Sus scrofa: one gene and its partner. The protein of the gene in region 2 interacts with the protein of the main gene of each other region in a pairwise test. Links are inferred from orthologs where the notes say so. Each region holds a gene or a part of one and is shown on either strand. Other genes may lie near its edges.

Evidence for each region.
Region 1: the proteins of USP54 (region 2) and ATXN1L interact in binary tests that used the Homo sapiens proteins (3 or more experiments, as listed by UniProt). The link is inferred for Sus scrofa from reciprocal best matches to the Homo sapiens genes USP54 and ATXN1L.

The regions. Positions count from the first base shown.
Region 1 is NC_010448.4:14,835,352-14,839,531, forward strand, and holds the start of ATXN1L (ataxin-1-like), read left to right. Parts: upstream 1-1,380; 5' UTR 1,381-1,507; intron 1,508-3,911; 5' UTR 3,912-3,979; intron 3,980-4,180. UniProt on the Homo sapiens protein: Chromatin-binding factor that repress Notch signaling in the absence of Notch intracellular domain by acting as a CBF1 corepressor. Binds to the HEY promoter and might assist, along with NCOR2, RBPJ-mediated repression.
Region 2 is NC_010456.5:76,437,043-76,441,020, reverse strand, and holds the start of USP54 (inactive ubiquitin carboxyl-terminal hydrolase 54), read left to right. Parts: upstream 1-1,178; 5' UTR 1,179-1,682; intron 1,683-1,768; exon of another isoform or gene 1,769-1,802; intron 1,803-3,978.

The DNA of each region.
Region 1 (4,180 bases), on a different chromosome or scaffold from region 2:
AGAAAAAGTGGAGGAGTTCACGCCGTGGTGTAGCAGAAACGAATCCAGCTAAGAACCATGAGGTTTCCGGTGCAATCCCTGGCTTCACTCAGTGGGTCGGGAATCTGGCATTGTCGTGAGCTGTGGTGTAGGTCACAGATGCAGCTTGGATCTGGTGTTGCTGTGGCACTGGCTGGCAGCTGTAGCTCCAAGTAGATCCCTAGCCTGGGAACCTCCATATGCCATAGGTGTGGCCATAAAAAAGCAAAAAAAAAAAGGGGAAAAAAAGAAAAAGTGGAAAAACCCAAGTCTCAAATAGTAAAATGACCCCCCCCCAGGGCCGCTCTCCACTGTATATGAAGGGGTCCAATTGGAGTTGTAGACCCCAACCTACACCAGAGCCACAGAAACACCACATCTGAACCACGTTTGCAACCTACAACCACACCTCATGGAAATGCCAGATTCTTAACCTGCTGAGCAAGACCAGGGATCAAACCTGCAACCTCATGGTTCCTAGTCAGATTCATTAACCACTGCACCACCACAGGAACTCTGTAAAGCAACTTTCGTAAGGCTGGATAGTACTTTCAAAATCAAACAAAAGTCAGCTACTACTTACTGCACAAAATTTGCAGCAACTGAAAAGGGGAAAATCTACTCAGAATCCAATCTCTCCAATAGCTAAAGTTATTTTTTTCTCAGCCCAGCTTCTGTCTGGACGCAGAACTACTTTTCGTACATAGTTGTAATCAAAGCACATGTTCAACTGATGTTAATTTTTTTCCACTTAAGTTAATCAGATGTTTATATAAAGTCGACTAGTTAACTGGCAAGGAAGGGTGACCTAATAATAGCTCATGGAGTACTCAGGCCCTCTTGCCACTAAATTAGGCTGCTTGCCATCGTAACTAGCTAACCCCCTTCCTCTCATTCCTCAAGACATTCTAGTCAGTAGCTTCACCTTCCCCTGAATCCTGGGTTCTGTCCATTCTCATCCCTCTCAGAGCCATTTCTAACTCCTAAATCTCTAGGGGAATCCCTTTACTCTCCTGGGCCGGGCTTGTCTCAAAGTTTCCCGAGGTTCCCAAGAAGAGCTTCACAAGACTGTCCAGGAAATGAGGATCGCTGACCACCACGCCTCAGGGCTCTTTTTGTAGCCCCCAAAGTTTATTGAGTAGAGACTGCAGGGTCATTGTAGGGTCAGGGTGAGGACGCCTGGCCAGGCCCTATTCACGTGACCGGACCCAGGAGGAGGAGTTCGTTTTCCCACCAGAGGGGGCGCTGGGGGCAATGGGCGGGTAGCCAGCCTCCTCCCTTCCCCGGTACTCCGGGCATTGCTCGCCAGTCCGGGTCGTGACGTAATCTCCCCGCGCCGGGGGCGGTACGCGCTTGACGCCATCTCCGGGCGCCCGGCTGGGGGGGCGCTGGGTGTGGGGCGGCTCCGGCGCCGGGGATGGCGGCGGCCGCGGTTGCGGCGGCTCCGGGACAAGAGGGAGGAGCCCGGGGAGCGCCGTGAGATGGGCCGGTGAGTGTCGCCGGGAGTGGGGGCTACCGAGTCGGCCTTACTGCGGCCAATGAGGCCTGGGCTCGCAGCTCTGGAGGAAGTGGCCCCCCGGAGCCGGTTGCCCCGCGGACCGAGGGAGCGAAAGAGGCCGCGCCTAGACCCCCGACCGCTTCTCACTGGCCCGGCCCAGAGAGCGGCCCCAGGCTGTGTCCCTGTGGGCCGAGGTATCCGAGTCCTGGGGGCGGGAAGCTGCCCCCAAACAAGGAAGCATTGCCTGCGGGGCCTCGCCCCTGCCCCTCTGCCTGAAAGGTCGACCCCGACTTTCTGACCGCAGATTTCCCAAATTCGGGCCCTTCCTCTGTTGTTGAGAGGACTGAGGGTTCACGGGAAGCCATAACCCCTGGTCTCTTCTAAGCTCCTCTCTTTCTGGCGGGCGCACCTCTCTCAGCGAATTCGAGTCTTAGGCTGGGATCAGCCTCTTGATTCCGGGCTCTGCTGGCAGTGTTGGCAGTTCTCCGGAATGGTCCCCCTTTCCTGTTAGCTCGGTTGGGCTCGCAAGTTAGGTCTTCCCCTGGAGAAATCCTCATTGAGCCCCTACAGTGACGAGGTTTCAGATTCCGAAATGTGTTTTGCCGTCGTGGGAACCTGGTGCTCAGGCTTGGCTCTTTGTTGTCATTCCCGCAGACCTTTTGCCTCTTTCAGTCCTTTTATTAGCTTGTGATTGGCTAACCCCTCAGTGACCTAGAGGCAGGTTTTCTTTAATATTTTAATTGTATGGAGCAAGGATCATTCTGGGATTGAATGTGTGACCCCAGTTTCTCTTGGAAATGAGGGAGAAAGCTAACTGCTTTTCACTTACTGGAACTGCTGGCAAAGAGGGTATACAGACTGTGCCCACTGTGAAAAGTTGTGTTTATGGAACCAAAGATTTGTGTTTCTACCTTGTTTTCCTGTCTTGTCGCATTTATTGTACCCACGCACCGTGTAGATCTTGAGAGAAATGTCTTCAGTTTGGTTTGAGGCTTGCAGGGTTCTGTAGGACTTGGACAGCACAGTGGGTAGTTTCTCCAAGTACTGGTCAGTGCTGCTTTCTCTGTTTTCAGAGGTTAAGACTCTCTTCTTCAGTGCTTATTGTTTCTGGTGTGTGAAGATTCAGATATTGACAGCTTAACATGAATTTTGTTTCCCCATTGTTAGCTAGGTGAGGATGAAGGCAATGCTTTCAGTTTGTGTCACACTTGATTCAGCACTTAGTACAAAGTTGTCACTTAGAAAATTTTACACATGCACACACACACAGGAACCTGTTATTTTTTTTTTTAAACCCTGGAAATCTGTTAATAATGCTTCCTCTTGAGTGACTCCCCCTTGACCTCTTTTTCTGCCCCAGAAACATAAATAATTGTTCTTTTTCCTCTAGTACCGCTTTTCTCGTTTAAATAACCTCCACGTCTGTGTTTTCAACAGTGCTGAATCAAGTGAAATCCATGAGGTTGATTTTTCCTGCTTCCCTTTGTTCACATGGACACAATTTGAGTCTTCCACATTTATTTGTGCATTTACCTAAAATTGGGATTGGAAGTAAATTTAATCTTTGGGAATAGGTACAGATAGAGAATGACGAATACGATGTAGTTCTCATCATGGCTCACTGGTGACAAACCCCCCCTAGTATCCAAGAGGAGGCAGGTTTGATCCCTGGCCTCACTCAGTGGGTTAAATATCCGGCTTTGGTGTGAGCTGTGGTGTAGGACCCAGACGAGGCTCGGATCCCACATTGCTCTGCCTGTGGTGTAGGCCAGCAGCTACAGCTCCGATTCCACCCCTAGCCTGTGCACTTCCATATGCTTTGGGTGTGGCCCTCAAAAGGCAAAAAAAAAAAAAAAAAAGAATATGATGTTAATGAAAGCAGTGAAGTTTGACAGGTGGAAAATTTTTCGCAGGGATGTCTTCCTACAAATTAGAGCTTACTGGATGGCTTTTTCTCTGTTCAACTGCCTGGGCACTCTGGATAAATGTGCTGTTAACTCTGGAGAAAAGGACATGTCAGGGACTCCTAGACTTTTAATATCTTTGTGGTTTTTTTACCTTTCTTGATGATCCTGGAGAGGGTTAGATGCTAGACTCCTGCTTACTTTTTCTCTTTCCTTTTTTTTTTTTTTTTTTAGGGCCGTACCCACAGCATATGGAAGTTCCCAGGCTAGGGGTCTGATCGGAGCTGCAGCTGCCAGCCTGTGCCACAACCACAGCAATGCAGGATCTGAGCCATGTCTGTGACCTACACCACAGCTCACGGCAAACGCTTAACCCACTGAGCAAGGCCAGGGATTGAACCAGCATCCTCCCGGATACTAGTAGGGTTCGTTGACCATTGAGCCATGACGGGAACTCCCTTGCTTACTTTATTTCTATTTCTGTCTTTTAGACTCCCAAGCCAGTGGGGAGGACACTGCTTCTTACTACAGCTGCTCAGAAGCACCACTGGAAGCTCAGGTAACACAGATGCTTTGGATACCTTGTTGTAGAGAAACATCTGAAATTCAGCAGTGGAAAAACCAAACAGTGTAATATCATAGAAATCTCTTTGAAGATCCAAAGACCTGAAGCCTGATTAGAAGAAATAGGTGACAAATTTCATATGGGTTGAAGCATTCAGACCAAAAAGACACTTTATTGCAATGGAAAAAAGCATGT
Region 2 (3,978 bases):
ATGCCCATAATAATATGCCTCTGAAATTGCCCAGATAATGTATTCCTTGGGATAGGGTCTACCGCTTTGCTGTCTAAAACTGTAGTTACTAGTCACTTGTGGCTATTGTGCTCTTGAGATATGCTTAGCCTAAAAACACTGGATTTTGAAGATTCAATATGAAAACAGGAACATAAGGAGTTCTGTGGAGCAGTGGGTTAAGGATATGGCATTATCACTGAAGCAGCTTGGTAACTTCCACATGCCATGGATGCAGCCAAAAAGAAAAAAAAAAAGGAACATAAAATATCTCCTTAATAACTTCAAAGTATTGGGAGTTCCCGACATGGCTCAGTGGAAACAAATCTGACGTATCCATGAGGACGCAGGTTCGATTCCTGGCCTTGCTCAGTGGGTTAAGGATTCTGCCTTGCCATGAGCTGTGGTCACTGATGCAGCTTAGATCTGGCTGTGATGTAGGTCAGCTCAGATTCAACCCCTAGTCTTGGAATTTCTATATGCCGCACGTGAGGCCCTAAAAAGACCAAAATAATAATGATAATAATAACAATTTTGAAGTATTGATTACACGTTGAAATATTTTGAGCTTAAATGAGTTACTAAATATCATTTTTTAAAATTTATTTTGCTTTTTAGGGCTGTACCTGGGGCACAGGGAAGTGCCCAGCCTAGGGGTCCAATTGGAGCTGCAGATGCCACAATCACAGCAACATGGGATCTGAGCTGCATCTGCGATTTGCACAGCTCAGGGCAACAGGGGATCCTTAACCTACTAAGGAGGCCAGGGATCAAACCGAGTCCTCACGGATACTAATCAGGTTCCTTAACCACTGAGCCATGACAGGAACTCCTTTATATTCATCTTCTGTTTCAACATCTTAGTCTGCATTTACTGCTGACAGCAGAAAGCCTTTACAACTAGGTGTTGAGGGAGTCATCAGGTAAGGATGTGCCCACAGGGTGGCAAGCAACAACTGCAAAGTTCAGACCACACACCAACCAGCATGGCACTCCTTCGGCACGCAAGGCCAAACACCTGTGCTTATGTTCGATTAAAAAACAAAACAAAACATATTTATTTCCGATTTTGTTCTGGTGAATTGATGGGGGTGGAGAACCCGTGGATAAACAAACATTTCTGCGAATTCAAATACCATTCACAAACCAGGGTAGGGGAAGAAAGGATGGATATTTCCTGAAGGAAGGTTAACGTGGAGAATAGGTCAATTCCCGGCTTGCTCACTCAATCTCTACTCTGGGTGGAGAAATAAAATGCCAGGAATTCGGAACTTCAGCTAAAGGCAACACTGCTCTAAGTTCGAGGCACTGGGAAAAGAGGGCCACATTCCTAAAGTTATTCCAGTGTAAAACTTCGCCGTACTAACTTCCTCCAGCCCTGCCTGCAATTGTTCTTCGATTCTCCCGCCAGCTCAAGATCCTTCCCCGCCTTCGTCCACCTCCAGACCTTTCCAGGCCACCTCTGAAGCGCCTCGCGGACGCCATCTTACACAACACTATCGCGAGATATACTTAGCCGTCTCGAGCCTGACTCGTTTACTTTCTTGCGAGAAGCTCTTCCCTGCTGTTCTCGCCGTAGCTAAAGAAAGTGTCGCGAGAGCTGGTTGCCTTGGCTCCCTGTAGCTATAGCAGCCGCGGCGGTTAAGGATGCGGTGGCAGAAGCGGTGAGTGCGACACCCTCAGGGGGGCGGGGCCGGAGGTAACGGGGTGCTGGGGGTAGCGCCTAGGGAGGGGGTGGGGAAGGTCGGGTCGCGGGAGGAATGGGCCCGAGTGTGACGTGTGGGGTAGGACGCGGGTCTTGTGGGTATAGGGACAGGGCGCCGGTCTGCACTAGGGCACGCGGGAGGGCTGGAGCTGCCGGGAGGTCCCGGAGGAAGGGACCCGGGTGTAGTAGGGCTCAAGGGGCAGGGGCGGGAGTGTAGAAGGGTGTGTGTGTGTGTGTTCTGTGTGTTGGGAGCAAGATGGTTATGGGACTCCAAATTGGATAATGAGACCAGGCTACACTGGGAATAAGTGGGGAGAAGCGGGGTACAGCCAGGTGGAGGCTATGTTGAATGGGAGCCCAGAGGTTGGGCCCGGTTTGCTTTGCCCTAGCGGATATGGGGGGTTGCGGTGTCAGACCATCGCAGTTTCCTGGGGTCCGCATGAGGATGGTGGGGGACTGCGCGCTAGGACCTAAAATGCATGGCGGGAGTGGTGGTGTCCCGGACCTTCACCGCCCCTTCCAAAGAAATCCTTCACGCACTCTGAGATGTGAAAGGAGAGTCCTGCTGAAATAGTATTAGTTGGGAAGCTTCTTTGGGTGGAAAGACTGTGAGTGGGAGAATGAATGATTTCTGCTCTGAAATAAAGTGTGGGATGGGGGCGGGAGAGAGAAATTCCTGAGAAAAAAACGATGTGCTTCTTCTGAATCGTATTGAGTTGGAAGAAGGGGGTGTGTGTTGAGCTCACGTTTCTTCCCAGATTCATTCAAGTGTAGAATTCTTTTACGGTATACTTATGAATTTATATATGCAGTGTAAAAATCAGTTTAGATGATGCAGTAAAAGAATGTGTAGTACTACATTTAAACCTTAACTCAAATGTAATTTAAAAACTAAGAAAAGTGTTTCTGTTGCAGCAGTACCAGGCTGAACACCAGGGATAGTTTTAGTGCTGGAATATAAAAACCTAGTGTTCCGAAAGTGTGCCTACTCAGATTGTTTGCCTTTTAGAAAATAAAGTTTTATTTTAGGAGACAGGGTTTTGAATATCTGTTAATAAAAGGAGTCTTCCAGGAGTTAAAAATCACTGAGAGATCAAAACATTTACTCTCAGTCTCAAAGACTATTTTATAGAGACAAGTTTGGACCACTTTGCTGTTAACTCTTATTTCTAGTGAAAACAATGGCTTCAGTTCAGGCATAAAAATAATTTATTTCAATGTGCAGATATAAGCTTTTTGATAATTTTTTTCTCACTATCTTTTGTAGGTATAAATTTGCAGGACATAACCTCTCTTTTGATTATGTAACTGAATTTTTCCATGTTGAGGTTCACAAATTCATTAGTTAAAAAAATGGATTTTAATACTTCTGTAGCTAGCCTTGATGTGGTTAGTCATTGAACCTATGTATTTTATATGTGTTAGACTAAAACTTTTAGTTTGTAATTTTAGTAGCTGAGCTTTAAAGTTGAAGTGCTTTTCTGAAGCAAGATAAAGCTTTATGTGGTTGGGTCCAAATGATTTCTCCATGAATCCATTGACGAGCTTTACCGAGTTCCTGTTATGTGTAGAGTATTGTGTGAGGCATTGCAAAGGGAGAAGAAAGATTAATTCATTCATTTATCCATTCAACAAACATTTATTGAGAGCTATTTTGTGTCTGATTTCCAAGCCTTCAGGATACAAGTAAGCTTTGCTCTTTGCCTTAGAATTTCTCAGGACTTTAGGAAGGAGAGAAGGAGTAACAAATCATTACAATGTAGTAAACACAAGACACATGTGAACACAGGTTATGAAACAAGGTTCTGGCTCTGGGAGTTTACAAAGTAGTTGACCAGACTAAAATGGAAGAATTTTTTAATATTACTAAATAATAAGCAAATTCTAAACTATGCTGTATTAATAAAACACAAACCATGTTTCTCGAAAGAGATAAAGATTAGAATGGAAGCTTGAGAAAATTCACGGGTCGGTTAATAATTTAATAGTCTTTAGTCTTTTTATAGTACTCATTTTGCTTTTTAGGACCGCACCTGCAGCATATGAAGGTTCTCAAACTAGGGGTTGAATTGGAGCTGCAGCTGCCAGCCCACCAGCCCATGGCAACGCTGTATAGAGGCCAGGGGTCCATCCTGCATCCTCATGGATACCAGCCGGATTCGTTATTGCTGAGCCACAAGGAACTCCTAAAGTACTCTTTTAAAATAAACATCACTGAACATTCTTTTTTTTTTTTGTCTTTTTGCTATTTATTG